Linked DNA regions of Struthio camelus. The protein of the gene in region 1 interacts with the protein of each later gene in a biochemical or structural test. Links are inferred from orthologs where the notes say so. Each region holds a gene or a part of one and is shown in the gene's direction. Other genes may lie near its edges. The genes, in order: GNAI3, RGS18, GPSM1 and RGS19.

The links.
Region 2: the proteins of GNAI3 (region 1) and RGS18 form a complex in vitro, tested with the Homo sapiens proteins (2 studies listed by BioGRID). The link is inferred for Struthio camelus from reciprocal best matches to the Homo sapiens genes GNAI3 and RGS18.
Region 3: the proteins of GNAI3 (region 1) and GPSM1 form a complex in vitro, tested with the Homo sapiens proteins (2 studies listed by BioGRID). The link is inferred for Struthio camelus from reciprocal best matches to the Homo sapiens genes GNAI3 and GPSM1.
Region 4: the proteins of GNAI3 (region 1) and RGS19 form a complex in vitro, tested with the Homo sapiens proteins (3 studies listed by BioGRID). The link is inferred for Struthio camelus from reciprocal best matches to the Homo sapiens genes GNAI3 and RGS19.

The regions. Positions count from the first base shown.
Region 1 is NC_090965.1:4,178,742-4,186,910, forward strand, and holds the start of GNAI3 (guanine nucleotide-binding protein G(i) subunit alpha-3), read left to right. Parts: upstream 1-5,007; 5' UTR 5,008-5,239; coding exon 5,240-5,357; intron 5,358-8,169. Other genes in the region: GPR61 (G-protein coupled receptor 61), read left to right, coding at 2,640-3,998. UniProt on the Homo sapiens protein: Heterotrimeric guanine nucleotide-binding proteins (G proteins) function as transducers downstream of G protein-coupled receptors (GPCRs) in numerous signaling cascades.
Region 2 is NC_090949.1:10,191,916-10,199,031, forward strand, and holds the start of RGS18 (regulator of G-protein signaling 18), read left to right. Parts: upstream 1-3,897; 5' UTR 3,898-4,237; coding exon 4,238-4,356; intron 4,357-5,039; coding exon 5,040-5,141; intron 5,142-7,116. UniProt on the Homo sapiens protein: Inhibits signal transduction by increasing the GTPase activity of G protein alpha subunits thereby driving them into their inactive GDP-bound form. Binds to G(i) alpha-1, G(i) alpha-2, G(i) alpha-3 and G(q) alpha.
Region 3 is NC_090961.1:3,519,987-3,527,951, forward strand, and holds the start of GPSM1 (G-protein-signaling modulator 1), read left to right. Parts: upstream 1-4,791; 5' UTR 4,792-4,929; intron 4,930-5,166; exon of another isoform or gene 5,167-5,277; intron 5,278-6,069; 5' UTR 6,070-6,237; coding exon 6,238-6,248; intron 6,249-7,965. UniProt on the Homo sapiens protein: Guanine nucleotide dissociation inhibitor (GDI) which functions as a receptor-independent activator of heterotrimeric G-protein signaling.
Region 4 is NC_090959.1:17,475,657-17,483,037, forward strand, and holds the start of RGS19 (regulator of G-protein signaling 19), read left to right. Parts: upstream 1-4,274; 5' UTR 4,275-4,289; coding exon 4,290-4,329; intron 4,330-7,381. UniProt on the Homo sapiens protein: Inhibits signal transduction by increasing the GTPase activity of G protein alpha subunits thereby driving them into their inactive GDP-bound form. Binds to G-alpha subfamily 1 members, with the order G(i)a3 > G(i)a1 > G(o)a >> G(z)a/G(i)a2.

The DNA.
Region 1 (8,169 bases):
TTAGGGTATGAATGCAGATTAGGGTACGCACCCCGGCTGTGTGCACCTGGGTTAGGGGGTGCACCAAGGTTAGCAGGACAAGAGGGTCCCGGCTGCTCGGAGAGGACTCAATGCCTGTGTTTCACCATGGCCGTGTTTGGCACCGGGGGACCACAGGGCGCAGGAGACGGGCCCAGGGCAGGCGAGGGGGGATGCGGGGCTGGAGGAGGTCCGGAGGCTGCCGGCATTCCCGCACGCCCCGAGCGCCTCGTGCCAGGCCGGGGACCCGAGCGGCACGTGCTGGGCAGCTGCCGGCAGCGGCTCCCCTCCCCGGTGCGCCGGACCCGGTTCATCCGAGGTCCCTGCGTTTCTAATCTCGTTCGGAAGGATTTATTTTTGGGTCCTCGTAACCTAGCAATAGGGCACGTGACGCACGGGGCCTGCAGCATGAATATGCATCGCCCGCCTCGCCGGCCGGCCGGCTCGCCACCCCTCCGCGCCGCCGGCCCGCTCGGCTGGGGACCCGCTCGGCTGGCGCTCGAGCCTGGGCCCCCGCAGAGCCAGGCCTGCGCCCAGGGCACTGCCAGGAGGAAGTCTGCAGCCTGCGCAGGCTTTGGGGGGGCTTGAGAAGTGATGGAAACCCCCTTGCAAGCAAACAGTTGGGCACGTAGGGAAACTGAGGCACGGTGCATGGCAGGGGATGCTCTGCCCTGGTCCCCGTTGCTCCGTTGGTGCACTGGGGGGAGAGGGAAGGGACGCTGGGCTGGGTCCGGGCAGAGCTGGGTGCCCCCGCCACCCGCCAGGCACAGCCCTCCCGGCCCCGTTCGCCTCGGGCAGCCCCCTGCGGCCGGCTCCGCGCCCCGCGCGGGCCGCGCTGCCCCCGCTCCCCGCCGCCGGCTGGGCGCTCCCCTCGCCCGTCACCCTCCCCTCGCCCCGGCCCCCTTGCGCTGCCCGGGCACGTTCCCTCTGCCGGTTCCCCGGGTCCCAGCACCCGCTCGGGGGGGCCTCAACACCCGCCGCAGCCCCCAGGCAGCTCGCTGCCAGCCGGGGCGCGGGCTGGGGAAACTGAGGCCCGACACGAGGGCCGAGGCGGTTTGCGAGGGGCGTCCCGGGGGCAAAGCGGGGGGTCGGTGACGTGCCGGGCTCCGTCTCTGCGGACGGGGCCAGCGGCGGGGTGGTGGGGCGGCCCCGGGCGCCGACCCCCGCTCCGCCCCCCCCCCCCAGCACGCCGGCCCGGCCCGGGGCCGCGCTTTGCCCCCCGGGGCCGGGCCGGGCCGCCGGCGGGAGGCGTTTAGGACCCAGCAGCGCGGCTGGTGCGGGAGCTGCCGGCTCCGCTCATCGCCGGCTGCGGCGGCTGCGGGCCCCGGCCCCGGCCCAGCCCCGAGCATCCCCGCCCGGCACCGGGGCGCCGAGCCGGCCGCCGGGGCCCGCCGACCCCCATGGAGCCCCCCCCCCAGGGTAGGTGCCCGCCCCGCCGCCGCTACCGGCGGGGGCTGCGGCGGGCGACGGGGCGCCCCCCGGGGCGGAAGCGGCGCGGGGCCGCCCGCTCGCCCCTCACCGTCGCCCCGGGCCTGCTGCGGTGGGGGGGGGGAGGGAGGAGGGAGGAAGGCCGCAGCCCCGGCACCGGGAGGGGGGGGGGATGCAGGGGGAATGGTGCATAGGGGCTCGGGGGAGAGGGTGGGAGGGTGCCCGGTGCCCCCCCACCCACCCCGACGAGCCTGCCCCGGCCGCCCCCGGGGGGATGCCGGTGCCCGGGGGCCACCGGGTATCGGCGGGACCGGCCGCGGCCTGCCAAAACGGGGCAGGGCCCCGGGGGCTCCCCGTGCTGCCCCCACACCCCGGCCCCGCGCTGGGGTAGCACCCTTGGGTGGGGAAGGGAGGGTGACACCCCCATTGCAGCGGGTGCCCACCCCCCCCATCGCCGGGCACCCCGCCGCGCTGGCTGCCACCCCCCCCCCCAGGGATTTGGGGTGAGGGGTGCACGGCACCCATCCCGGGACGTGTTCGGGGTGGGGGGATAAGGGGTGAGCCCAGGCGTCCGGGCCCAGGGAGGGACTGGGACCGCGCTGTCCCAGGCTGGTCCCAGCCGCGCCATCGGCAGTCCCCGGGCTCCAGGTGTCAGGTGAGGCTGTTTTGGGCTGAAACATCGGAGTTTGGGGTTTTAAGCCCCGGGGTTGCTCGTTTCCTAAGGAAATGAGACATTTTGTTGAGAAAGGAGTTTTCTCAGCCCAGGGCAGCCCCGCGTGGGGCCCGGCGGCTCTCCCCGCCGGGGGGGACCCAGGCACGCCCCGGGGCGCCAGCGGCCGCCGTCGGGGGCTGAGCCGAGACGCCGACGCGCGGGGGCCTCTGATCCGGCCGCCTCTCTGCCTTCCCCCGCAGGTGCTCCGCTCTGCCCGGCGCAGAGCAGCCGGGAGATGAGCCCGCCCGGGGGGAACCCTTGGGTGCGCTGAGCGCCGCCGCCTCCGCAGCACCCGTCCCGCGCCCGGCGGAGCGGGGCCGGGCGATGGCCAGCAGCACCCGGGGCCGCCGGCCGGCGTAGGGCTGGGCCGGGGTCCGGCCGGCGAGGATGTGAGCGCCGGGGGCGACGCTCTGCGGCCCCTCGCGGGGGGCCCGTAGGATGGGCGATGGGCCGGTGAGGGCCGGCGCCACCGCGGGACACCATGGAGCCCTCCCTGCCTGCGCCGTGGGCCTGGAACGGCTCTAGGCCGGCGCGGCCGCTCCAGCCCTCGCCGGGCCCCATGCCCGCCAACGGCACGGCCGACGCCAAGCCCAAGGACGTGGCTTCCAAGTCGGTGGGGCTCTTCTTCATGCTGCTCATCGACCTGACGGCCATCGTGGGCAACGCGGCCGTCATGACCGTCATCGTGAAGACGCCGGCGCTGCGCAAGTTCGTCTTCGTCTTCCACCTCTGCCTGGTGGACTTCCTGGCCGCCCTCACCCTCATGCCCCTGGAGATGCTCTCCGGCTCGGCCGTCTTCGACAGCCCCGTTTTTGGCGAGGCCATGTGCCGCGTCTACCTGTTCCTCAGCGTCTGCTTCATCAGCATGTGCATCCTCTCCATCTCCACCATCAACGTGGAGCGCTACTACTACGTGGTGCACCCCATGCGCTACGAGGTGAAGATGACGGTGGGGCTGGTGGCCTGCGTGCTGGTGGGCGTCTGGCTCAAGGCGGTGGCCACCTCCCTGGTCCCCGTGCTGGGCTGGCTCTCGCCGGACCGGCCGCCGGCCCCCGCCGGCCGCGGGTGCTCGCTGCAGTGGAGCCGCGGGCCTTACTGCAAGTTCTTCGTGGTCTTCTTCGCCGCCTTCTACTTCCTCCTGCCCCTCCTCATCATCGTCGTGGTCTACTGCAGCATGTTCAAGGTGGCGCGGGTGGCCGCCATGCACCACGGCCCCCTGCCCACCTGGATGGAGACGCCGCGGCGGCGCTCGGAGTCGCTCAGCAGCCGCTCCACCATGGTGACCAGCTCAGGGGCGCCGCGCACCACGCCGCAGAGGACGTTCGGCGGCGGCAAGGCGGCCGCCATCCTGCTGGCCGTGGGGGGCCAGTTCCTCTTCTGCTGGCTGCCCTACTTCTCCTTCCACCTCTACACGGCCCTGAGCCCCCAGCCGCCGGCGGGGCGGCAGGCCGAGACCGTGGTCACTTGGCTCGGCTACTTCTGCTTTACCTCCAACCCTTTCTTCTACGGGTGCCTCAACCGGCAGATCCGGGGCGAGCTCGGCCGGCTCCTCACCTGCTTCTTCAAGCAGCCGCCGGAGGACGACCTGCGGCTGCCCAGCCGCGAGGGCTCCATCGAGGAGAACTTCCTGCAGTTCCTCCAGGGCACGGGCTGCCCCGCCGAGCCCCGGCCCCGGCCCGCCACCCCCAGCCCCAAGCGGGACCAACCCCCCGTCGACTTCCGCATCCCGGGGCAGATCGCCGAGGAGGCGGCCGAGCTCCCGGAGCAGCGCCGGGGCGGCGGCGGCGGCGGCGGCGATGGCTACGTGCCGGCGGCCACCTCTCCCAAACGGGAGCTGTAGCGTCCCCGGGGGGGTCAAACACGGCTGCAAGAGGAAAGCTGGTGTGCGTGCCTGGCTGGGGCGCCTGGGGACGCGGCCGCCGCGGGGCTGGGGACCTGCCGGGGCTGTCCCCGCCGCCCGCACCCTCCTCGCCGGGGTTGTGCTTTGCTCCCCAGCCGTGGGGGCCGGAGCCGGGACGTGTCACCCCCCCCCCCCCACTCGGGTCCCCACCGGGGAGGCAGCTTCGGGGTCACAAAGCAGGGAGGAGCTGTTTTGGAGCGTGGCGGGGCCTCGGTTTTAGGGGGTCAGGCGGTCCTGACCGGGAGCGTCTCAGCAGGGTCGGCGGGAGGGGGTCCCCCAAAAGTCCTGCTGGCCCCGTCCGGCCCCGGCACCCTGCCCGGGCGGGCGCAGCCAGGGGACGGGGCGTCCGCCGCCTCCCGGGTGCCCCCGGGCCGGGCTCCCCTCCTGCCCTGGGGCCAGCTGCCCCCGTGGTGGGTGCCCGTCCCCCGGCTGATCTCCGGGGGCCGCCCCTCGCTTTCGGTCCCCGCGTCCGCCCTTGGGGCCTCCCGGGCTCGCTTGCCCCCCAGCGCCCCGTGGGGCTGGGCCGGGTCGAGGCAGGAGCAGCCCCCCGTGGTGGCGGGTGCCCTCGAGCGTGGGGCAGCTGGGGGGGAGCGAGGGAAACACCCCGGGCAGGGGGCTGCCACGGGCCGTGGGGCTGGGCCTGGGCAGGGCCGGGGCAGCTGTGGGGCTGGCGCAGCTATGGGGCCGTGCAGAGAACCCCCTCCCCTCCCGCAGGGCCTCCCTCAGGACTACAACTCCCGTCACGCCCCGCTCCACCGAGGCGGAAGTGAGGCGCCCACCCTCCCCCGGCTCCCATCACGCCCCGCTCCACCGAGGCGGAAGTGAGGCGCCCACCCTCCCCCGGCTCCCATCACGCCCCGCTCCACCGAGGCGGAAGTGAGGCGGGGCAGCCTCCAACTCCCCGCATGCAGCGCGTGGACTACCAGTCCCAGCGTGCCCCGCGCCCCGCGCGGCGGCGGACTGCATTTCCCGGCGTGCCCCGCGGCGGGCGCCCGCGCCCGCGCGGCGCCGCCCCGGGGCGGTTGGCGGGCGGGTAACGGTCGCGGCGGGGCGGATATCCGGCGCCGCCTCACGGAGCCGCCCGCGCTGAGGGGAAGCGAGAAGGCGCAGCCCCGCACCGGCTCGGCTCGGCTCCGTCTGCCCCGCTCCGGCTCCCCGGCGGCGGGCCGCCCTCCGCCGCCATGGGCTGCACGCTGAGCGCCGAGGACAAGGCGGCGGTGGAGCGGAGCAAGATGATCGACCGCAACCTGCGGGAGGACGGCGAGAAGGCGGCCAAGGAGGTGAAGCTGCTGCTGCTCGGTGAGGAGGGGCCGGGCGGGGGTAAAGGGGCTCTGGGGAGGGGAGAGGGCTGGGGGGGGGTCTTGAGACGGACTGAGGGGCTCCGGGGGGGGCTTGGGGGACTCTGTAGTGCCGGGGGGGGGAGGTGTTCCAAGGAGCCTCTAAAGGGGGGGCTTAAGGGAGCTTTAGGGAGCGTTTTGAGGGGGACTGGGGGCTCGGAAGGGGCTTGAGGGGCTAAGGAGTCTCAGGAGAGGAGGCTTGAGGGAGACCTCCAGAGTCCGGGAGGGGGTTGAGAAGGCTAAGGGAGCTCGAGGGAAGGCCTGGAGAAGCGTTGGGACGGCTGAGGGCTTTGGGAGAGGACTCCGGGGCTTGGAGAGGGTGAAGGAGTCCCTGGGAAGGGGATTTGGGGCTTTCCAAGGGCTCCAGAGGGTTTTAGGGGGTCTTTGAGGGGAGGAGCCAGGTGGTGAGGGCAGGACTATCTGGAAGGGATTGAGAAGGGGTTTGGGGGAGGCTAAAAGGTCTCTAGAGGGTGAGTGGTGGGGAGAGGGGTGTCTGGAGGGATGGTGAGGTGACTGTGGGGTGAGCAGGGATCGAGGAAGCTGTTGGGGTGTGTATGTGTGAGGGATTACCCAGAGGGATGTTGAGGGAAGAGGGGTGAAAGTGTTAGCAAGACAAAGAAGTTCAGGGGTTTGAAAGGGGGAGAGGCTGGGATGAGGTAGGGTTCCTGTAGGAAAGCTAAGGGAGTTGTGGGAAGGGCTCTGAGGTGAGTCTGGGAAAAGGCCGTTTTGAGGGACAGCTCTGCCTTTGTGACACTGGGGAGGGTTTGGCGCTTAGTGTGGTTGCCAGCCTCGGGCATGGGCCTGACCCCTCGCTCCACCCTGGTCCTCCATCCCTTTCCCGGGGTTGTTACCTGCTTGGTGGGGCTGCTGGAAGACCATAGCCTGCCCCGCTCCCTTAGGATTGCCACCCAGCTCTGAGGAGGGAGGAGATGGCCTGTCCCACTCTCACCCACGGCAGGAGCACGCTGCTCTCTAGCACGCTGTCCCAGGGTGGGGCTTTTTACTAGCCAGACTCTGCCTGATGAAGTAACACTTCTGTCTGTAGTGTGGGTCTGAACCTTACCAGTCTTCCTTCCTGGTTGCTTCTGGGTGATGTCTGTCTCTGGTGGCTTTGGTCTTGGGCTCTGGGAGCAGAAAGCGTTAGCTCCGCTGTCTCGTTGTTCCTTCATCTTTGGGTATCCTGTGCTTGCGTGACAAAGATCACTGTAAAACCTCTTGCTTGTGGCTGAATACTGACAATATACAGTCTGTAGTCATGCAGGCATGCTCGTTCAGCTTTTTGCTTCAGATAGGGTAATGGAATTAAATCCTTTTATCTGGTAGTTAGCTTTTACCCTGAAAATGGCTCTTTGGACGCCTGTTTCTCAGATCAGAAATGCCCGCTCTGTGTAAGCTGTCTTTGCTAATCATGCTACGTTTTTTGTGCCTCATGCTACCACAGTAAAGATCCTGTGATAGGATCTGACTTTGCGCAAAAGATGAGATGTGAATCCACCTTACTCTTCCATAGCTGAACTTGTTCTGCAGAGCTTGCAGGAGCGCAAAAAAGCAAAAGTGTTGTTGTTGCTGCTACCTCAGTGCAATCTCTATATGTACAGAAAACGGAGCAGCTGAGAAAGGAAGTGTCAATTCTGTGCACTTTTATTTTTTCCAGCTAAAAGGCATTCATGAATCTTTGAGAGGATCTAAATGGAATAAAATGTTTAGTGGAGAACTATCTTCTTATTATACTTCCCTGAGTGGATAAATATTTAAGGATTGCAAATAACTTGCCATATTTGGTCTATGTTCTAGTAACCATGTTTAGAAGCCCTTGTTGAGTGATAAGTAGGGTACAGAGAAGGAAAAGATGCCCTTCTCTGATGAAGCCTGCTAGATATAGGCAGACTCCTGTTCCATTTCTTTGCAACTTCAAATGAGCTAAGGAATAAGCAGTGCAAATTTAGGGTTGTAGGTGGACCCATCTGGTCATGTCATGTAGGTCGTCGTCTTCTAATGTCCATATGTTTTTTTGTTACTTTGACATTCTCCATTTCAGATGGAGACAGATTGAGTTCATGAAGACTAGAACAATGACATTTAGTTCTCCTGTTAGACTGGGACACGTTGGCTAACAAGTCTGCTTTCCAAATGATCTGAATCTCAAGAATCCTTTTTTAAAACTTGTTTTTACTTGTATCCTTGTAAGAGGTGCGGCTTGATGTTCTTTGTGGCCGTATTGAAAAGCATTTTGGAGCTAAACTGCATGACCTCCTCTTCAGCAAATGACAGAGTTGAAGGAGTACCCAAAAGATTATGCAATAATCGGTTTCAAAGCATATTAATGTAGACACAAGGTGAGACTTTCAAAAGTACAAGTAGCAGCTGTATTTTGGATCACTTCTCTCTCTGATCTGTCTCTAGCCTCATTTAAAAAATAGTGCGCTCGTATCAGGTTTGCACTTGGCCATAACCTGCAATAACTTAAAATGTCAAGGTTTTCTAGTGTTAAAAATTAGCGTAACAATTGCTAGTGATTAGAGGGAATACCGGATTGTGCCAAAATGTACTCTCCTCATATGCAGCTTGTTAATGTGCGGGTGAAGCAAGATAGTTAATTGCTAGGAGAAAATATTTGCAGTAGGAACATGGGTCCTTTCAGTGAGACATCAAGAAGCTGATGGAAAAGTTCATGAGTTTTTCCATGGTTTGAGCAAGCACTTTTTCTTTGGAACACATTAAAATGTCCAGGATAAGATATAGTAATAACTTATCATTGTTGTAAGAGATCATGT
Region 2 (7,116 bases), on another chromosome or scaffold:
AAAGACTGAATAAATGAATTTAGTTTAGCACACAAGTAAGTGTTTTTCCATAGCAAAAGTTGTGCAAAAGCTTAAGATTCCCAAGGAATTTTCAAGGGACAGTTAAAACTTCTGTTTGAAATACAAGCAATTTAGCAGACCACATCAGCTGCAACTATAGGTCAAAAGTGATTTACACAGATCATGAAAGCTGATAAACTTAGGTAAATAGTTTAAGAGTTCAACAACTCTTAAAGCCTTTGTTCAAGAGCGCCATTTCAGAAAAAGCTAGCGTTTGAAGCCCACTGCACCTTAAACCCGGAAAAAACAGAAATCCCTGCAAGACCATCACTAACGGAGCTACTGTGCTCCAGTGGATAAAGCAGTGGAAAGGTCTTCCTTTCCATGCTTACCCATAACCTGCCTATTTCATTTCTAGATATGTCATACATACCTAGTCAGAGACTGGTATTTCATTTGAATTAATATAGCTTATTCCAGTCTATTGGCAATTGAACTTCTTTCCAGAGGAAAACAGAAAAGCAACGAAATCCTTATTTACGGTGGACTAAAATGTGGTATTTAAGGAGTCCTACTGAAATCAACAGAATTGTGATAATGTAACCTTTTAATCTCAAAATAAGCTAGGCTTGCCCAAAATAACATTCACTAGCTTGTCCAGAAACAGAACCTGAGTGTCAAAAAGACATAAGGCTACATGACAGATACAAAGCATGAGTTTTCACTGTGGAGGTCTTACAAAACCCTTTTGAGATCCCTAGCTGAGAGGACCCATGGACCCTAAACGAAAAGCATTACTGGCTGTTTTCAGTGATGCATATCTGAAGCAAGCAATTTTGTTTCCTTCCTTTTAAACAGTAGCCATCAAAGGAAGTTCTGTAACACGAACAGTGTGGAGGTATTACAATGCTTCTCTTCCACTAACATTGAAGTATCCCACATGCCAAGTTCCTCCATTACGATGAACCTCTTAAGTGCACCACTAAAGAAAATCATGGAATTAGCAGACTGCAAGCATCTCTACTTGAGATTTATAATAAAATTATTTTCATCTTGGTATTTTTCCATGAAGCAAAAATGGGGTTTTTTTGGCAGATAAATAAAACAACTGTATGTTGGATTATACCATTATGAAATGGTAGGTCCAATTATGGTTTGCAGTAATGGGTAAACAACATAAATATTGATGAAACTGATAAATTGTTGAGATGTTTCTGAAGAGCAGCAGAGCTATTTTTCCAAACCAAATTCTTTCAAAACATGTCAGCTCCCATTGCAGGAAAAAGAAAAATATGGGAATACTCACTTTCATCTTATGCTCTTCAGAAGTTTCTTTCCATGCTTATTCTTCACAAGACGATGAAGAGATCATGCTATGTTGTTTTTCTCTTGACACGAAGGTGAATAGTGCTTCCCTTAGCAGAAAATAAAACAGCATAACCCTACAACTTAGGGTAAAAGTGGGTAAAAACGGATTTGAATGAAAACAGTGGCAGAACTCCATTGTGGAAAAGCCTAGATATTGATAGGACATGAGCACAGGTGTAAAAGAGGAAAGGTTAACAATTTGCTAGCAAGCAACAAAAATAATTTTGCGAAAGATGCAGAGGGATTGCTAGCAAAGGAGACCTGATTGCACTCTAATTCTTAGTGCTGAAATGAATCACTCAATCAAGGCTTCACTTGTGTTCAACTGAATTGAAATTCTCAATCCTACAGTGCTTACCTTTAACAAAGCACTATTATAACCTATGCAGAGTATAACGCAACATCCTTATTGCTAACGTCGATTTTTCTTTCACAGAGGGCAATTACTGGTCCTAGAGAAGTCAAACATGATTTTGCTATTAACTGTAACAGATCCCTATCTAATACCAATGGAAGTCAGTGCAGAAACTTTACAACTGACGAATAGGCCTGAAGAGACCAGGACCTCACTGCAAAGAACTTCTAGTACTTTATGATCTGTTCAGTCTTGCTTTCTAATGAAATAAAGAATGCTTTGAAAACACACATTCTATTCATCGATGTATGAAAGCTCTTGAAAAATGTATTTATTCTTTTCTACAAGTAATAAATCACTATCTCAATATTTCTTTGACTTTGCATAGATGACCTTGATTTAAGGGTTTTTAAATCATTAAAAACCTTCTAGGAGGTCTGTGAATACAGTTCAGCAGACTGAGGCCTATGGTGGAAAATAGAAATGCTTTTTAGCACCAGCACCGTCATTGACAAGATACAGCCTTACTCTGATGCTATTTGCCTGCTTCATGGGCCTGGATTTAATATTAGCTTTCTACTAATGGAAAAAAAAAAAAAGAGTGCTTGCAATTATTCTATATTTCCTTTCAAGAGTTTCAAATAAATTCCCAAGAGATGCACATTACATTACTGCATTCAGAATAGATATTATCATCAGAGAATATTACAGCAAAACTTCAGGCATTTAAGACACAACACCCATTGCTTTACAGTCATTTAAAAATGGATTGGACAAGCCATTCCAGCATATGCTGAGAAGAACCCATCACAGGCTTGACATTGGAACAGGTGACATAATGGGTCATTTCCATCTGTGCCTCACGTGATATAGTGGCAAGGCCACCAGAAAGTAATTCAGTTATGAATGGAGTGCCATGCTACAAATCATTCTTAAATCAGCTTATATGAAGTATTAAGGCCACAACTGACAATATTTTTCAGGAACTGAAATCACCAGATAATAAAATTATGACAGATCAACACAGAGATAGTATTATATACACATCAATAGGCCAACAAAAGTTCATATGACTTGCAGAAAAGTCAAATAAAAAGATGTTTTCTAATTTTGTTTACTTATTGGTAAAAGATAGAACACATTATTAAAGACAGCTCTGTGGTTAAACCCAGTTCACAATTACTAGGATATGATCTATAGGCGTATTCTGAAACTGAAAATGAAATGTATAACGCTGTCTCTCAGAGATTTTGGGGCTACAGAAGGCAGTTTTGCAACGGAATATTTCTTATTCAGTCTGATTTTGAAATTTGTTACAGATGTAGTAACTAAGTGCTCTCTCTTTCTTTTCTCGTTCTTAAACAAAAAATAAGGTTTTTTCTTTGTTCCATTTCGGGAATTCAGAGTCCTAGAAGAGTTTTTTCTTTCTTCTGTCTGTTAGTACTTCCTCTCCTCAACTCCCCAGGCACGAGGAAAGGCCTTGGTGGGACTCTCATCAGAACTTACCAGTGGGCAGAGCCAGTCAAAGTCATTGTAAGATGTTGCGGTCATATCTTCTCTCCACCTTTCATTCTCAAACATCTTTGTTCAGCTCTAGATCAGATTGTTAAGTAATCAAACTGGGTTAATAAACAATGACCTTGGTGCTGATACACAATCAATGACTTTCCTATCTAATGCCTGATGGATGTGAACTCACAGAAGAAACTCACTTTCAAAACTGCAGTACTCAACAATGCCCTAGGGTTGAACAAAAAGTGAATAAATACACTGTTCAGTATTGCAAACCATTCCTTGATACGTGAACAAACTCAAAATCAGAAGTAGGTACTCATCACTTCTGAAAAACAGTGCAAAAATTAAAATCTCTATTTACAAAATATCTGATCAAACACAGCTTCATCCGGCTCTTGTGAGAGACTCAGACTCTGAGTGTCAAGTTAGCATGTTGTAGCTAAAACTGATTTCTATGTCCAGCATTTAGCAACAGAGACTGCAGAGGGCAGTTTAAAGTCAATTAAAAGTTATTCTAAGGGCTTAAGGCAACGCTACACATTAATTTGTACAAAATGATTCTCTTTTAGAGCTCATTTTAGAGACACTCTATTCACTTCCCCTAAGCGCTTGGGAGAAAATGATAGCGTCATCCGAAGTCTAGCAAACCATCAAGTTCCGCACACACACAACCAGGAGCTGTTCTCCGCTTACAGCCATGTTTATGTGCATGATCAACGGCCATTTTGCAAAGTTGTAATCTCACTTCCCTGAATGACGACTGTGAAAACAAAACTCTACTTAAAGTCCTGCCTACGTGCAGCTGTAGTGACAGCGAAGGTGGAGAACCTCCTTCTTTCCACTACCTGCTCTGGAAACTTTTCAACCACTGGTTGAGTAGCAATCAAGCCAGATACAGCATGCGACAACCTTCCTGAATGCACCAATTACACTAGATGCAACTGCTGTCAGGAAGCTGAAGAACCATTTGCTGAAACTAGGAAGCTTTACTAGAGGAAGATGGAGAATCCACTTCTTTTATTTCCCCAACTAAACATTTCTGCTTCCAAGGATAAATCCTATTACAAAGTCACGAAAACAGCAAATAAAGAAGAGACGAATAAAGCAAGCAAGCCTGGGTAAGTTTTAAGGTCATACTTACACTTTGAGTGGTCCGTGTACATAGGGGATTCTTCTAACATAGCTGGTGGGTATGAATTTAGGGCATAGTTCTTTTTATTTTGGACTGATATATGTGAACACTCATGAACTGCAAGTCTGGGAATTGTATCCATAAAATATTAATTCATCAAGGGAATATTTATTAAGAATAGGAATACGAAACAAATCAAATAATTAACAAGAAAGTGGGAAATTCTGAGAAATCCCTTTCTGAAGCCTAAATAAGATCGGGAGAAGTTTCTTTTTAAAATTTTGAAATGACAGGAAGCAATACTTCCTTTTTCTTTGCAAAAAGATAAAAATAGAAGATGTTGACTGCACTTATTCACTAACATGAAATTTAACCCACCTCCATTTTTAAAACAAATGAAAAAGATAAGTGAAAATAAATGCAAAATATAAATGAAAAGATTTCCATTACCCTTTGCCAGTGCTTCATATGTAAATTCATGCTAAGGTATAAGGAAGAAATGCATTAACATGAACATTAATATGTAGGCGAAAAAACATCAACATTACTATAGCTGAATGTAGAAAGTAATGATCTGTAATGCAGAGGCAGGGAGATACTAGTCAAAGGAAATGTTTGAACAACATCTTTCAACATGTTGCTTTAAAAGCTACCTGAACTTTGTTGTAGAGCTAAGCAGAAGAGAAATAGGCTGAGCCTTCTCCTGCAGAAATCTGAATTCCATGAAGAGGATCATCTTGGCAAACCTACACACTTGACAAAAGCAGCAAGGTGAGTGTTATAAACACTGCAAGACTGGAGATTCCTTTCAGGAAGCGGTTGTGTGACTCGAAACATTTCCTGCATTTGCCTGTGCGCATTCAGGCTTGGCAGAGAATAATGCTTTTAAGATCTATTTCACTTATAAATTAGCAACCTAATCCAAGCATACAAACAGTATACATCAAGTTAACTCATCACTCGTGTTTTTTACACTAATAGGTGTAGACTGCTACTCAGATTCATAGCAATGAATAGGTGAGTCTCAAGTCGTTATATAGTTTTCAGAGAGATTTTCTGTGGTATGAAGTATGATCTGACCCAGCAAACATTTTTTTCTTTAAAATAAAGAAGGGAAGGAAGAAACAAAATGGAAGAAAAATGTGGATAGCGTAATCCACATTTTTCTAAGCTACTTCAAATCCAAATTTTCATTTTCTTATAGTCTTTGTGTACCACTTACTTTGATTATAGTAATTAGTATGGAGGCAAGTATGTACTTGTTAAGAATTTTTCCACGACTTTTCCTTCATATTCCTGAATTCAAATACATTTGTATCTGTATAAAAAAAAAGTATGTACATATGCACACACATGCATATACATAAACTTCATTCATACCAACAGCATTTTTCTTAGTTAATTGACAAATTTGAACAAGAATTAACCTGGGTACGTGCCTGACAAATTACTTCTTACAAAGAATTTATACAGTTCCTTGGAAAATAAATTTTCCAAAGAATCCTGTGATGTACGAACACCAGCTGCACATCAAAACCTGAATGCATAGTTCCTCAGTGACTGCAATAATTGATAGAACACTGTCTTGTCCCCTCCTCCCTCCTCCAAAAAGGTCATTTAAACATTGTGTAATATTTTCCACATTATACTATTTCCTATAAAGATGTAATGTGAAATCTTGGTTTTGTTGAACTCAGTAAGAGCTTTGTTCCTGACTTCACTGGGGAGCCAGGATCTCACCAACCTGCTTCGCTGCCATTGTAGGGCTTGACTGAGAAGAAGGAATGCTTAAAGTACTACAACTTCAAGGTCTAAAAAATTTGCAGTTCATTTCTTTTCCTCACAGATCACTTCAGAACAATTCAGTGCTTCTAGTTTCAGTCTGCTTTCTTGTTAAACTTATCAAACTTGTTTCAGTAGTTACTGTGTTTGAGGCCAAGATGCCTGCACCCTGACCAGAAGACTTCAGTAACTATTTCTACAAACCCTTACCAACTGTGGACATACAGTAAAAATTATACCAAGGCTTAAGCACCATTTTTTGGAACCCATGAAAAAACCCAACAATTTGGTATCTAAACACTTGTATCTGTGTATCTGGATAGTTACACTATGTTTGTTGCTCATACATCCAAATATTCCACACATTCAAATGACAGGAAGCACTCATGCTCTGGACCACTTTCCACCCCACAGTCTGGGGGGCAGAGTAGGTTCATTATTTTCTTTTTTCCCCCTCTTTCTTGTGTCGCTGCTGACAGAAAGCTTAACTAACTCAAAAGTTTTACAGTTCACTCAAATATACAACCTTGCAATCATGAGTTCTACTTTCGATGATTTTTTGTTTGGTTGGCTGATAAAACTTAGGCATTTCATGTAAAGTACATGGTCATCAATACATTCCAATCACCTACAAAAAGGCACTTTCAAGGGAGGTGGATACAACAGCAATAAATGAATAATTTCCTTCTTCTACCAGACATCACCACTTCCTTGCTCAGTCAACTACTTTTAACCACATTACTCTCGGCCAGGTGCTCAACTAACAGGGATTGTACTGTTCTTACTGTATAGAAGAGAAATTAGTACTTATTTGTTGATCTATATATAGATATACTTTATATGGAGAAAGAGATTTAGATTATTTTCAGTGAAAAAAAATGAAAAAAAAAAAAAAGAAGAAGATATACGCTTTTTCAAGTAGCAAAGCCAGATAACAGTTTTGGATGCCCAGTGTTTTACTTGG
Region 3 (7,965 bases), on another chromosome or scaffold:
AAGATTCAAAGAGCAGCTTTCTCTGCTAGAAAGCAGCAAGAAACAGGGAGTTCAGGTGTTGCCATAAGTCTTTATTATTATCTTTATTATCTTGTAACATGGAATCTCTCTTTTAGGAAGCCTTTCCTACTGATATGGCAAACCATTTATGTGGGTTAGATCAGCCCCCAACTTTGATTTATACGGAAACGGAACTTTCCTTGCAAGTTGGTCTATGGGACTAAGTAAAATAATTAAGAGAGAGTTTATCTGAGGTACCTGGGGTACATCTGCATTGAAGTGTGTGACCCTCACATGGTTACTCATCTGTTCCTTCCTCCAGGACTGCAAGGGTGTGGGGAGATGTCTCATGTCCTAGGGCAACACTCAGGCCAGCAGCTCCTCTTTCTTGTTCCTATGTGCAGCTCTGGTGTATCTTTCTATCTGATATGACTTTTCTATCAGAGCAGCTATCAGATTGTAAAATCCTCTTAGCGACAAGGTACAGGTTTTTGCTTGTTTGGCCAGCTGTGAGCAGTACACCTGGGCTTTAGTTTCATTAACTGCATCAAGGTAAAACGACAGTGCTTTTCTCCCTGAGATTTGAGCCTGAGTTAGCTAATCGCAGTGCAAAATCACACCAGCACTGTGGAAAGAGGGAGTTTGTTGCAAAGAGTTACAAAACTGTCCAGCACTCTAAATCTTCAAAATATTTGCTTCATTGTGTTGGAAGTCATACAATCCAGGTTAAACTAAACACTTAAAGCCTTTAAATAACCAAAAAATCCTTAGTTTAAAATAAAAAATATCCAAGTCTTTGACTATGACCATGCAGATGATAATGGAAGCTCATTATTCTCATAGCAGCTAGTGGAATTGATTCTGCGGATGCCAAAACTGTTGCTCATTTTTCAGCCATGCTATAGATCTGCTTACTTGATATCCATATCTGAAATAACCATGAGCAAGGACTAGTCGTTGCTGCCCTTTGAGAACAGCCTTGGCCTTGCTTATACCTACTGTTTCCTCATCCATAATTGCTGATTGTCTTTACATTTCTGTGGCGTTTGCAGATGTTGTCTGCTATCATTAAATTTCTCGGTGTTGTGAGAGAGTCCTGGGTTGAGACAGGGCTATGGCACAGGGGGAAATGTCCTGCTCTAGGCAATCACTACACATCTAAACAGTCAAGAAAGTCAGCTTCCTCCCATATCCCGTTCCTGCCTGGTTAACACCTTACCTTTCGTAGCCTCGTCCATGGATGGAACAAACCCTTCACTGAGGAACTGGGCAAAAGCACCTAAAGAAGCATTTAAAGAGGATCCCTGGGAGGGCTGGAGCCTTTCTAGAGAGATTAATCCCAGAAACCTCTTCCAAAGGACGAGCTGAGAAAGAACTCAGCACAGAATATCCCAGTCTCTGCTCCTTCCCTGAGCTGAGCTACCCACAGGCTCCGGTCCCTGGCTCCAGCCACGGTAAAGGTTCACCTGAGATGAGTCCCAGGTCAGCCCCTGCCCTGCCCAGGAGTGCGCCAAGGAGGAGGAGGCTGTGCCAGGGAGCCCAACCAGTGGAGCCGGCCATCAAGCATCACCACACCTTTGTTTGGGCCCCTCTGTACGGGGCAACCGTAGCGGTAGCGATAGCAATAGCGATAGTGCAGGGAGAGGCTGCTAGAAAGTGTGAAGAAAACAAACAGCAACAAGAGGAGCCTGAAGGCTGATCTCAGCTTGCAAACACGTGGCAAGGTGCCAGAAGCTTTCTTGACAAGCCCTTGCATCCCTTCCAGGGCAGCTGGCATCCTGGCAATGACCCATCTCAGGGCCAGGTGGCCACAGAGGAGAGGGAGGACAGAAGCTGCACAGTTTGGGATGGAGAGAGAACGGGGTGCTAGAGCAGGGGGAGAAACCAGACCGGCGCAAGATCTCACCCAGGGCACCTCTCCTCACCCCTTTCTCTGTAAGCTCATCCAGCCTTTGATCCTGCTGTCAGCAGCGCTGTCCTGATCAGGCCCCCAGGTTCAGGAGAGTAGGGGCTTTAATTCTGAATATTGGCTTTTAGTAAAGGAGGAAATGATCAAAAAAAAAAATAGGGTTTCTAGTCTTTATGACTGCAGAGAAAAGCTTGAGAATATGAAGTTAGTATATGCTGAAGGCTCAGAAAAGGTAGATAAAGACAACTCCACCTGTGTTGATGTGCCTTTTTTTAAATGTCACAGTGTTTGAGTATTTGAAATTTGGGGTAGCCCTTGTGGTTCTTCAGGTCCTCCTATTCTCCTGTTCTCATCCTGGCATTTCAAATGAATGGGAAGGAACAGTTTATTCAGCAAACAGCAGAGGGCAAGCTCAGCTCACAGACAGGAGACGAGGCGGTGCCTTCAGCGGCGCTCTGGCCTCAGCTGCTGCCAGTTGCCACTTGGTCGAAGACAGCCCCGAGTGGGCAGCAGCAGGAAAGCCCTTGCTGTCACAGTGGTTCACTCTCCTTTTCTATTTCATACTTGGCCTTTTCACAGAGCATCTTTCTGGCAGGCTTCACCGGATAGTGGCATCCTGGCCTGCGGCCTGCCAGCTCATGTCCCACACCCTCCCAAGATTATGGCTGCAGATGGCTAAACAACCCTTAGGGCACATCTCAGCTGGTGAATTTGCTCGGTCATGCGGGCATGCTGTCCAGGCATTGCTTTGAAAGAGTTGGTCTCTGAAGTTCTTTGCCCCCAAAGTTACTCACCCCTAATCCTTGGATCTGCAATTACAACTGAATCTACTACAATCACTGTATAATGCCAAGACTAGGCTGATCGTTTGATGCTGTTTTCTGTTCCTTGACTGGATGATCCTTAGGCATTGGCTTCCTGTGAAATTCTTCCATTTATGAATTTTAAATTTGCTTCCCATAAATATTCTCTCACATATGCCAAAGTTCTGCAGTTCCCAAGACTATGCTTGCTGTTTGCTCTGAGATTCACTGAAGGCACATGAATAGAATAAGGATAAGCAAATAGGAATAGAAACATTTCTTGCTGTCCTCCCACAGTGACCATCAATTACTGCCCTCATGGGGTGAATTTCAGCACAGACCCTGAGCTGAGGCTGCGTGTGCCTTTCTAGGTCCCACATGACTGCAAAGCAGTGCTGACTGATGTACTGTTTCACCAGCATTTTGGTTGATATTGAATTTGACTCTTGTTTCTGTTTTATGTCCTCAGTTATTTGTTCAGGCTATACAATGCTACTGATGTGCTTTAAGCAGCAATATCAGTATTGTAGGTCTTTGTTATTACTGGGAAGTACTTAGATGGTGAGGCAAGATACTGATACCACATCCTTTCATATACATGGATCCCTGCGGTCTCTAGAGAAGTTTGCTTGAAGCAGCAGACTCAGGCTGCTAATCTAATAAATATTACAGCAGTCTGCTCAGATATCTGCACTACTTCAACTTTTCAATTCTAACCGAACAAGGAGTTCCCGAGCTGTGGATCAGAGTTGCAAAGTTCCCATTTCAAGCCGGTCCAAGCCAACGTTTTGGCCTGATTAGAGGTTCCAGTGCTAAGAATGCAGAGTCTGTCCCAAAAGGGAACCACAGCTATTTAGGGTGCCTAAGTGATAAGAGCCTTAATTACAGCCCCCGGGTTCACAGGCAGCCGTTGTGCTAGGCAAGCTTGCGTACTGAAGAGAGAGGACAAAGCAGAAATGTGAAACCTCAGCAGTGGGAGGACAACTTTCAGTGAAGATGTAGCATATGGGAAACTGTAAGAGTAACAGGAAAGTCTAGGATTAGTCCCATGTCTGCTGAGTTCAGTCGATCAAGGCAGTGCCTGGAGCAGGAGTGCACGTGCCGCAGCAGGCAGTGCTCTCCATTGTGCGCAGGTGACACTTCTGAAGCCACTCGAGTCGGACCGGCATCTCTTTTGGCACCTATCTTCCTTAGCAAGCTGTCAGCTCTGACGAGAGCCAGGAGAGTGACAGATTGCCAGCATGTTATGCTGCACATCTTGGAGTGTTAGACCACAAATCTGCTGGGAGATGAGGAAGTGAAACCTATCACTGGGCCAAATCCTGCTTCTGCAGCGCATGCAGCTCCCAAGTCAGGGAGCTAAATTTGAGCTGAGGCAGCTAGGAGCAAATCCATTTAGATCTGTACATTAGAGCTGCATGAGCAAAATGAGTCAGTCATGTATGATTGTGTCCTGCGGACTCCACAGCTCCTGTCACTTGTGACTAGGACAGAATTAGGCCCAGCGTTTTCGTTCACGTGGCGTTTATGTTGCATCAGCCCTCAAACAGCAAATTTTCTCTACAGAGGTACTCAGACTATCCCCTACTGGTTTTAGCAGACTAGACAACCCCAGGCTATTGCATACCCAGTGGACGTCTTACAAAAGCCATTTTAGGGTTTTCAGTGATTTGCCGGGATTCTTGCAGCTCAGAACCGATGAAGAGAGATGCTGCTTACCCCACTGCACGGCATTATCCAAAAGAGAGCAGCGTGTGAGTCTGCTGGATCGTTAGTGGTGTGCTTACATGCACAATGATGAAGTGGGACAAAAAGCGTCCAACTCGGCTGCATTCTGCCATCCTGAGCTTCAAGGTCACTTTCTAGCGTTTCTGCAATTCAAAGATAAGTGGACTTGCTAATTGCTCAATCCTGTAGAAGGTTGTTTGGTGTCTGGAGGTTGGTTTCACACTGTTGAGGCCGCAGGGTCTCCTCCCAGTGTCTTCCGTTCCTACTATAGTGCACTGTCACGGCTTAGGAAATATTTACAGCAATAACCCACAATGCCTAGCAAAATTCAGGAAGTGTATATATATGTGAACCAAAAAAGAAATTCCTCCTAAGTCTGTGTGGTTTGAAACAGCTGCATGCCATGCAGATATAGCTTTGTGCCCTCTAGATATATTCCAGGGGTCTTGTAAACAGCAATTCTACTGTTCCTACAGCTCTGGCAGACAGGTAGGACACTCCTTACTTTTTCTTGTTAGTTGGCCCTGTGCGCCTAGCTTTGTGAAAGTGTTACAATCTCCCTTATTGAGGGGAAACATGTCCAGCTAAAAGGAAAGAAAATAATACTTGTTTGGTTTTTTTTTACAGTGTCTAACTAAGCAATTTATGTTGTGAAGCACTTTTCACAACACTTCCCAGTTAGCAAACAATCAAAGCACAAATCTAGACTTCGATCGCAAGCTGGATGTGACATGAATTTTGCAGCAAGCATATGGTGGGAAGAGGCAGCTCATTAAAATAAAGTGTACTGTTCTGAAGTCTGACAGCCAAGTACTCAGTCCTGCACCACAGACCAGGGTATTTAGGCTCTTGATTCCTATGGATTTTGGGATGTCATGGGACTGTTTGTTACCCATATACTGCTACACTTCTATATTTGGCTCTTTAGTCTCCCTGTGCCTCAGTTCCTCATCAGCAACGGGAGAAAATATCGCTTCTCTTCTCAGTGCTTTTTGACTGACCAGGCTGTTTTGCATAAAGACGCACTAAGATACAAACATAAGGAATGGATTATTTTATCCTATGGTTCAAAAGGTATTAAACTCTGCACAACCTAAGGATGAATCCGAACTTGGCTGCAGAGTTTTTGCTGGTACCACTGATCTTGCTTCTTTTTCATTTAACCCTAACAGCTCATGCAGATACCCACGTTGTTAGGAATAAGCAGATACTTTCCCCATGGTGTATGTCATATACTCAGTTAATGCACTGTACTAGGCGCTGCGCAGAGAACTGCCCAAAGGCAGAGAGCAGGCTGCTGCTCGGCTGCCCCAAGTCTAGGGAGGTATTTGCTGCAGTGAAGAGATGCTCTTCTGCAGTGATCTCAGCCAGAAACACAAGGAAATATTAAGCTTGTGTTTCCCTACTGAGGCCCTGAAATTATAAAAACAACATGTCAAGAAAGAACTAGACCTTCAGAATATCTAGATTTTATGCCGAGTGCCAAACGATGTCTAGAAAAGGGCAGAGCGTTCTCTTTATGTGCTTATATATATATATATATATATATATATATCATCCAGTTATTGGCGAAGAGAGTGTTAAGACAGGAAATAGCTATTTATGGCCTTTTTTTTTCCCTATCAATAGGAGAATATGTGAATGGAATCAGAAGCGAAGGACAGCGGAGCTGCCTGCGCTGCGCAACCGAACGTGGGAGAGCACCGAGTTTCCATGGAAACGGCCTATAGGAAACGGGGCTCTCCGGCTGTACAAAAGGATTTATAGCGCCGGCCTGGGACTAGGCAATTTAAATCAATGATCGACAGGTAAAACGGCACATTTCCTTGCACATTGTCTCCAGGCACTGCAAAACGAAAGAGGCAGGGTAGGCGGGTGGGGAGAATTGCAAGATGACAAGGTTTTCTGAGGTGTCTTAGAACCAGACCCAAAACCCGCGGAGGCTGATGCAAAGATTCTTGTGGATTTTGCTTAGGGCTGGAGCCGGCATGCAACGAGCAGGCGTGTTCCTGCAGGAGCAGGGCAGGGCAACAGTTCCCTGTGCACCAAAATGCACAAGCTATAGGCACAACGACATACCCTACCTGCACGCCACAAACTCGGAGGGGAGAGGAGAAACGTAATCTGTTCCCTGCTTGCTCAGCCCTTCAGATAGTGCAGCTCAAGCACTCTGCCTGGTTTGGTTTTTTTGGTTCTGATGCTCGGGAAGAGTTCGTCTGGCTAAGACTATCCCTAGGCAGACCAGCAGGCTTTGGGCACTCGTTGCAGAGAGACTTGTCAGAGGAGCTTTCTGAAGGGCTGCACATCTGTTACCCTTTAACTGTCACTAGGTTTCCAGCTGTCAGTGTGAATTTTTGAACAGATATGGAAAGATCAGATTTTCCAGAGCAACGAGAATCTGTTTGGGAATATCTCAGATATAACCCTGAAAAAAATCAGAGGTCCCCAAAACAGCTAGTTAAGACTATAACTGAGACAAAATGTGCCATAAGCAACAAACAGTGTTTCTGTAACAAGGGATTAAATGAGTGAGGAATGATTTATTGGCTTCAGATTCTCCCATTTATTGACATTCAGGCATAGTGATATATGGAGTGGCATGAGACAGCAACATAATTATTCGTGCAGTGCTGCCTTCATCACCATACATTACCAAGACCTGAGTGACAAAGCCACATTATCTTCTGCATCAGACACTGTGTGCCTGTCCGATCCTGCTTCCAGCTAAGGGCAATGGTTAAATATCTCTAACGTACTTGGAATCACCATGGGGCTGGTGTGTTTATTAGCTCTGCGGAACTGCGTGCACTTACGAAGGTTGCCTCCTTCATATCCAGGAATGAAACTCAGTCTCCTTACTCACCATGTATCCTGGGCTTAGTGTGGCTGGATTTAAATATGCAGTTTAATATGCATGTGGGCATATTGGTGACGTCAAACACAAGACAGGAAATTCCTTTTGAGTTGGAGAATACAGCGTCCTTGGCTGCAAAGACTTCCAGCCTCTGTACACTCTGATCCCAGGGTAAAGTCATGTTTTACCCTGCGCTCCACAGCGCTCTGTTCGAATGTTACTTTGTTCTGCTTCCAGCTTTCAACAGAGCATCAAACACAGCTATCAAGAGTGGCAAGATTTCAGTTTCTTCTTTCAGAGGGGGTTTTTTGTTCAAAACCCAAATAGTCCAATCAAAATCAAATCTCAAGAACTGGGTCCTCCTGTCCTACCTCTCTCTACTGCCGCCTTTGGGTCTTTGCCATAAAGTCCTGCCTACACAGCAAATGCTACCAGCTAGACCTTCCACTTCCCTTTTACAGAATTTCCTCTCTAAAGTGCTTTCTTTGGACCATCAGTGTCCTTCAAAAAACTTACCTTTCAGTTCTTTATCTCCACTCAGCTACTTGCAGGTCACTTATTACAGACCCACAAGCAATCATTTTCAAATGACGTAGTGAGAAGCTTTATCTAATTACCTAGGTAGAAACTCTTGGGCAGGCTAGTGTATTATGGTATGTACAGATGCACTG
Region 4 (7,381 bases), on another chromosome or scaffold:
ATCAAGTGTCAGGTCCATGTGGATTCTCTGATGTCTAATAAGGCATGACAGACTATGTTAGTCTCTCTCACAGTTGCAGCTTTTGCAGGGTCATTCTCCTCCACCCAGCTGTTTGTAATTGTAGGACCTGAATTACATTGGAGAACTCTGTACTTCTGTCAGTTTTGACTAAAACTGGCCAAAGGGTTATGAAGTTTTCAGAGAGTGGAATCTAGAAGAATGTGAGTACGCTGATACACGAGATGATTGCATAAGCCCTGTTATATTAGGAAATCAAAATAACGAACCCTCTTTCCACTAAACATGATAGAATTTATAGTCGCATTGCCCCTGGTGATGCAAAAACCCTTTTTTAAACTTTGCTCTACAACCTATGGAGAGCCGCACTGCAGAACTCCAAGCTATTGCTTTATCTGGGAGTTTGAGCACAGGGGAGATGCTCTTTGCACTTCAGGTCGGCTTATTTACTGCCCCCGTGGGAAGGAGGTGGACTGATCAGATCCCTTCGTCTGTGCCTTTAATGAAAGGAAGTAGAAAGTGGAACTCAGAGCTGCTTTGAAGTGGCTGCAGAGCTCATGGAGCCAATATGTAGTTGGTTCCTGTTATTGGGGAGAAAAAGCCGAGAGGAACGCGCAGAGTGAAAATAAACGTCGACCCTACCTAGAAGGATTCTTCTTTTCAGTCAGTGTGCGAGCAATCACAGGAAGCCGTGGAGTTAGCACATGAGCTAGGGGTCTGCGTGTGAAACGGGGCACTTAGTAACCTCTGTGTGGCTCTGATATCTACTGGGAAGCTCCAGGGCCTTAAAAAAGCAAAACGGTTATAAAGGATGTCCAACTATTTCTCAAAAGGGAATAAATTGGCAGGGATCAAACTGCACAGCCCAAACCAGGTATTCTGCAAAGACACCCAGGGTGGATTTCTGCCCTGGAGAAGGAGCGGTCTCCGGGGCAGCTGTCCTGCCTGCTGCCACCGCACCACCTCGGGCAGCCTGCGTGGCCGCGCAGAAGCCCAACGTGGCCTGCGAGGCGTGCCGCAGGGCGTCCGCGGGCTGCCCTCAGCAGACAGCAGAGAGAGGATGAGCATGACCTCTACGGTCTCGGCTCCGAAAAGCACTTCCTGCAGAGTGGCAGCTCAGCAGCGCTGCTCTTGTAACTCCCGCATTGGCCGTCTTAGCGCAGGTGCTGCTGTACCTCAGAGCTCCAGGCCCAGATTCATTTTTTCGGTCGCTCCAGCCGAATTTCCCTCTGTTTGCTGAGGAGTCTTAGCAGTCCCACGTAACTGGTGAGAGCAAGAGGCCCTTCTGAAGCAATGCGTCCCTGACTAGACGCCAGGTATCCTGTCCCATTACCTGCCAGTCTCCGGGAGAGTGCACGGGCTGGAAACAGACTGGGAGAGCTCAGCCCACTCGGCTGCTCCAGCAGGGCTGATAGTTTCAGAGCGCCTTTGGAGATGGCTATTGAGCAACCGTTGACAGGCTTTCTCTCTCAGGTGGTGGTGTGCAGAGCCATAGGGAGCCACGCTGTATCTCAGTCCTGACACAGGCTGGCTCTCCTCAGATGTCCACTGAAGGATGCTTCCTGCTCCCAAGCATCCTGCCTGGAGTTATTGGAGTCCTTCTTCTTGAGAAGGAAAACAAGCTTTGCAAGTGCTTTCTTTGTGTAACACTTGTTAAAGCACACTGCTACCCATACTCTCCAAGCAGAGAGCACCTCAGCTTACTCAGCACCGTCCTAGGGGGATCTCCATCAGCACCGCTGGGCAGGAGGAGTCCATTGAAGGCACTGCTGTACCCTGTCAGGGCACACACTTTCCCTTCAGAAAGGGCTACAGGGCACCAAAAGGGTGCAACATTAGCAGATCTTAGGATCATGTCCCCACTGTCCAAATACCAGTGCTGGGCTAAGAAGCTACAGCTGCTCTCCAACATCCAGCAAAACTGCAGTCTCGATTGTCTCTCCGAGAGAGTCCGGAAATTTTTCCTTCTCCCCGCCGGGCAGTGGGTTTCGGTGGGCTGATGCCGAGCCATCGCCAACCGAGCGGAAAAGGCGAGCAGGCGGCGGGGGGCAGGGGCCGGGCCGGGCTGCGGGGCGCCCGCCGCGCTCCCGGCGGAGTCGGGCGGCACCTGCGGGCTGGCCCCGCTACTGCACCGGGCGCCGGGAGCCCGGAGCCGGGAGCCGGGAGCCCGGAGCCGGCCCGACCTCCGCGCCGCCCCGCTCCCCCAGCGCCGCGCACCGCCAGCCCCGGCGAGAGCCGCTGCCCCCCGGGGGCGGCATCGCCCGCCCTCTCGGGGAGTTAGAAACACGCTCTTGCCTTTCTGTGGGACGGAGATTGCAGAGCTTGCAGAAGAGGGAGCTGGTTGGGGTGGAAAGGGTTGGGGAAGTTTTTGCCACGTTTGTGCAAAGTCGGTGATAAGTAACAGAGAGGCTACAGGACCCTGCAAGAGCTGATTGCATGCAAGTAATCTCCACCTGAGTCATGAAACATCTCAGCTCCTCTGCCATGAGCAATTACCACTTATGACAGAAACAGCTCAAGTAAGACTGCCCCTTCCTTCCTAGGTTCCCTTTCAAAGTGCTGGGGGGGGGGGGTGGCTGGCTTTCCCAGAAGTTACTGCCAGCCCTTGGAGTGGGGGCCAGCACATCCACGCACCGAAAGTTTTCATCCACTTCTTTAGGGTGGACGGTGGGCCTGGGAGAAAAGCAGCTTTCCAAACTCAAAGCTGAATTAAAGCAGGGTTCCTGCTTATTTAACGGAGCATTTGCAATTTCTAGAAAAGATGCATTTTCTTCTCCAGGTTGTGTGTGTGTGTGTGTGTGTGTGTGTGTGTGTGTGTGTGTGTGTGTGTTTAAAAAGGAGGTATTAAGGACAAGCTGTGACATTGTGAGCGGAAGATTGCAGTCTAGTTTGGCCATTTGTTGATAACACTACTTTGCAGGCAATTTGCGAGCGGCTGCAGATTTTCTCCCCATCCACACTTCCTTTTTTAAAAGGTGACTTTTTTTCAATGAAACATTCATGGTCTTTTTAGTATCTGAAGGGATGGTAACTCAAAAGCCACAGAGAATCACCAACCAAGTGTTCATGGGGATTTATAAAAAACCCAAAACATGGAACATAAAACAGTGCTTGAGGATGTGGGAGCCTTTACAGACATTTGTGAGCTTTCAGCTAAATTACACGCTAAAGCAAAGGTGAGGGCTGGCATCCTGGTTGCGTTGTGGGGGAAGGGGACAGCCTGACATCCGCAGCATTTCACTGAAGTTGCTCTAAGAGTTGGGAAAGCTGATAGTGGAGGGACCTGAGGAAGGCCCCTGCTTCATCCACCGAGATCCTGGCGCAGAACCAGGTCCTATATGACCAAATGTTCTCTAGCTCCTGCTGGAGCGAGCTGAATGGGTAAAAAGAGGAAAATCTAGACTATTGAAAACAGCAGGTTGAAATGCGGGGAGGCGCAGGGTCTGGAACATAATCTAGCCGTGCGTAGGGGCAGAGACCTGGGGTAAGCCAGGAGGTCTGTTACTCACATGGGAGGGGAGGGTGGTCAGGTTTGGGTTTTCAGCTGAGCAGTCACAAGTAAAGGCCTCTTTTAACTGCTTTCCCCACGTCACAGAGCGCATGTCTCAGGGACTGAAGTAGAGGGTGGTTTGATCATTGTCTTTTCCAGGGAAATGGGTTTTAATGAGGTTTTGAATAATAAAGTGGGATAATTTCCCTGGCTGGCAAGATCATGAAATTTTTATGTCTCCTTTCTCTCCCAAAGTTTTATCACCCTTTATTTTTAGAGACACATAATCCCCCTTAAAAAAAAAAAAAAAAAGGCAGAGAAACTACTGATTTAGGGAAAGCCACTCCTCACCAGGGACTCTTGGGTCAGGGAAAGCAATCCTTCAAGCAGCTTCTCTCCCAGTTGTTCCTTGCCACATGTGCTGGGGACAGGCAAGGGCCCGGAGGGGGCAAGGCAGAGGAGCAGGGTCCCTCCAGCCCCTTCCCTTGGCTGAGCCTTTGCCCAGTGCCTGCACACTGGGGGCAGGTGACGTCCCCGCTCCGGCGGGAGTGTGTTGGGGCGGGAATGGTTCCCTCCCAGTGCTGGCGTAGAGGGCAGGAAGCACGGTGCCTGGGGGAGGCTGGGTGCTGGTGCAGGGCGCTGGTGGGGTGGAGGGTGCTGGTGGAGGGTGTTGCGGTAGATGCTGGGTGCAAGGAGCTGGATGCTGGTGCAGGGTGCTGGTGCCGAGTGCTGGCACCGGGTGCTGTGCATGGCGCCAGTACCGGGTGCTGATGCTGGGGGCATGTCCTGGATGCGGGTGCTGCTACTGGGCGCCGGTGCAGGTGCTGGTAGCGGGTGCGTGCACTGGGTGCTGGTGCGGGGCGGTGTGTGTGTGTGTGTTTTGACGTGAGGAAGTGCCAAAGCTGCAATTGCTTTAGGAAGTCAATCGCAGGGGCCGGGGGACGCGTGCGCAGTGCAGCCGCGCCGCTCCGCGCCGCTCCGCGCCCGCTGCCTCTGCCTCTCCCTGCGGTGCCGAGCCCGGCGGCAGCGCAGAGGCGGCGGCCGCGGGGAGCGGGCGGCGGCGGCGGAGGGCGCTGCGCGGCGGCGGCGGCGGATGCCCGGCCCGTGAGTACCCCGCGGCCCGGCCGGCGCTGCCCGCGGGATGCCGCGGCCGGGGGCCGGGCCCGCCGCCCCTCGCTCGCCCTCGCCGCTGCCTCCCCGCGGCGGGCTGCGGGCAGATCCCCGCTTCCCCCCCCCCCCCCGCACCGCATGCTCCCGCTTTGCTTGCGCCCCTCCGCATGCATGCATGCTTGCATGCTCCCCCCGCGGCGCGCAGCGAGCGCCGGGGTTGATGGGCAGCTCGGGCTGTGTGTGTGTCCGTCCGTCCGTCCGTCTGTCTATCCGTGCCCGGCTGCTGCCTGTCACCAGCCCCGTGTGCCAGGGGGGCTGCCGCCGCGCTGGGCGGGGGGGGGGGGGGGGGGGGAACCGCGATGGCTCCGCGGGGACCGGCGGGCAGGGCGAGGGACCCCCCCCCCCCCCCCCGCGGCGCGCTGCATCACCCCGGCGAGAGGGCAGGGCCCCTGCGAGGAGGAGGAGGAGGAAGGAGGAAGAGGGAGGGGGGCACCCTCCAGGCGCAGGGCTGCCTGCAGCGGGGCTTACCCGGCCCCGGGGGAGGGTGGGGGGGGGGAAGCGTGCCAGGAGGGGGTGTCCGCCGAGGCCTCGGCCAGCCCAGGGCTGCCCTGGCCCTCCTGCTCCCACAGGTGTGTGCGAGGGCAGCCCTGGAGCAGCCAGCCCCACGCCGCCTCGGCCAGGCAGGACGCCTGGGCCCCTCTGTGGCTTCCCGTCTCGCCATGTGTAGACGGGTGTCGTCCCCGGCAGCAGAGCGCGGTAGCTGCAGGGAGCCCTGACCTCGCCGGTGGGGTAGCGGCGAGCGCCGGCCCCTCGGGGAGGTTGGCTGAGGTCAGGCGGTGGCGGTGGCGGGGGGGGTCCGGTCTCTTTGTTGGGGGACGCCCAGCAGGTCACCTGGCCTCTAGCAATGGCAAGGCTGGAGGGTTGGGCAGAGGGGACCTCAGTCGGACGTGTCCCGGCCACGGCTCCCCCCGCCACCCGCCGTCCCGCTGGAAGGCAGCGTGACGGCTTCCTGTCACCCGGCACGAGCGCGGCCCGTGGGCGGCATCCCGGGGTGCCGTGCCGCCGCTTGGCGCCGCGTCCCCGCGGCCGAGGGGTGCGGAGGGCCAGGCGCGGGCCGCCGGAGGTGTTGCACGTGCGGCTCGCGCTACGGCTCTGGGCATGGCGAGGTTCCCTCGGGAAGCTCCCTGTCCCCACCGCTTCCATGAGGCTCTTCTGGCACCGGTCCGTGGCCTTATTTAAGAAACTAAACAAAAAGTGTTAAGTGAGTGGGAGGGATTTCCCCGCTGCGAGGGGAGTTCGCTCCCCTCTGGATGCGTCTCCACCATCGCCGTCGGTAGAGACGCTCGTCCCGTGTCACGCTGGACGAGCAGAGCCTGTTGTTTTTGCTGTCCTGGTGGGTGTCGTTTGCTTTGGGAAAACGGGTCGCCCCAGTGGGCACGTATTGCAGAATATCTTTCCCAGGGGACAACGCCACATCAGATTTCCCTACAAGGATTTTAGCTCCTCCGCGTCAGCCCTTCCCCACAAATGACTCAAGCCGCATGCTAATCAAAATACAGTCGTGTTCTTCAGCAATTAAACAAACTCCACCTCATAAGATTATAGTGGAGAAGCAGGGATTTAGTGACTCGAATATGTTTCAATCAGGGTCTGTGTGTCCATTTTGATGTTGTTATTTAAGAAAAAATAGGAACTGAAGGCAGGTAATCAGATAATGCTACTCGAACCCGGAGAGGGTAAGGGAGAAAAATACCTTGGCAAAGTGATTAATGCTGAGTCTGTCCTAGGTGCAGGAGCAGCCCATCTCCACCCTCTCCCTGCGCTAAGTGCATCCTCTCCTATCTGTGCTTATCTGCGGTCGTAGTCTCACTTTTAGACTGGGCTTGGGCTACAGCCTCTTGAGTTTCAACAGGGCTCATGCAAAGGGTCTGGGCAAGCTCCATGCTCCCTGCTCGTCCTCGTGGGTGTCTGTGGCATCGAGTGATCAACAGGTACACATGGCAAAACAGCCTTGGGAGGCAGCGCGTTGTTCCCACTGGGCTCCTCGCGCGTCGTCGCGCGCCCGGCCTGCTTTTGCTTTTGACCCCTCCATCCCAGAGCTGCTTGGTCTCTGCAGAGAGCGGGCTCAGACTGCCATGGCTTTTACTCTTTTTTTCCCCCCAAGCTTTTATCCTCTGGATAAATTTATTTTGGAAAATTTGCTCAAGAGGAGGTAAAATCTTTGCCGCGCTCAGTTCCTTAGCCCCCCTTGGGGGTTTGCCAAGGGAAGCGTACCCTGCGCCCTGCCTTCCCCTTCCGGCTCTCTTTGTACTTTTGGGCCACCTTCTTCCCCCGAATGCCCCGTCCCTGGGCGAGCGCCCGGCGGCGGGGCCGCTCGCGGCGCCCGGCCCGTTGCAGAGCGGGCCGCGACGCTGCGTGAACCGCGGGGGCGGGCGCCGTGTCCGGGCCGCATCGCCGGGCTCTCGGCTGCCGTGACATACGCTTCCGGGTTACCCGGAGCCCGCGGCGCTCACTGACACTTCCTATTACTCAGTTCCTTATTCATCTCTGCATATCTCTGTAGACATTTCCATTGCAAGAGATCTGCTGAGAACTGATCTAAAGGCAGTTGTTTATATACTTTATTTAACAGCTACCTTTTAATTTGAGGGAAGAAAAAATAACTGGAGGTTACCGCAAGTTGTTTTAGTCCCTCAAGTTCAGAGTACCTTGCAGGATGTTGCAACATGGTTTTTACCCATGGGGAGGACAGCATGGGGGAAG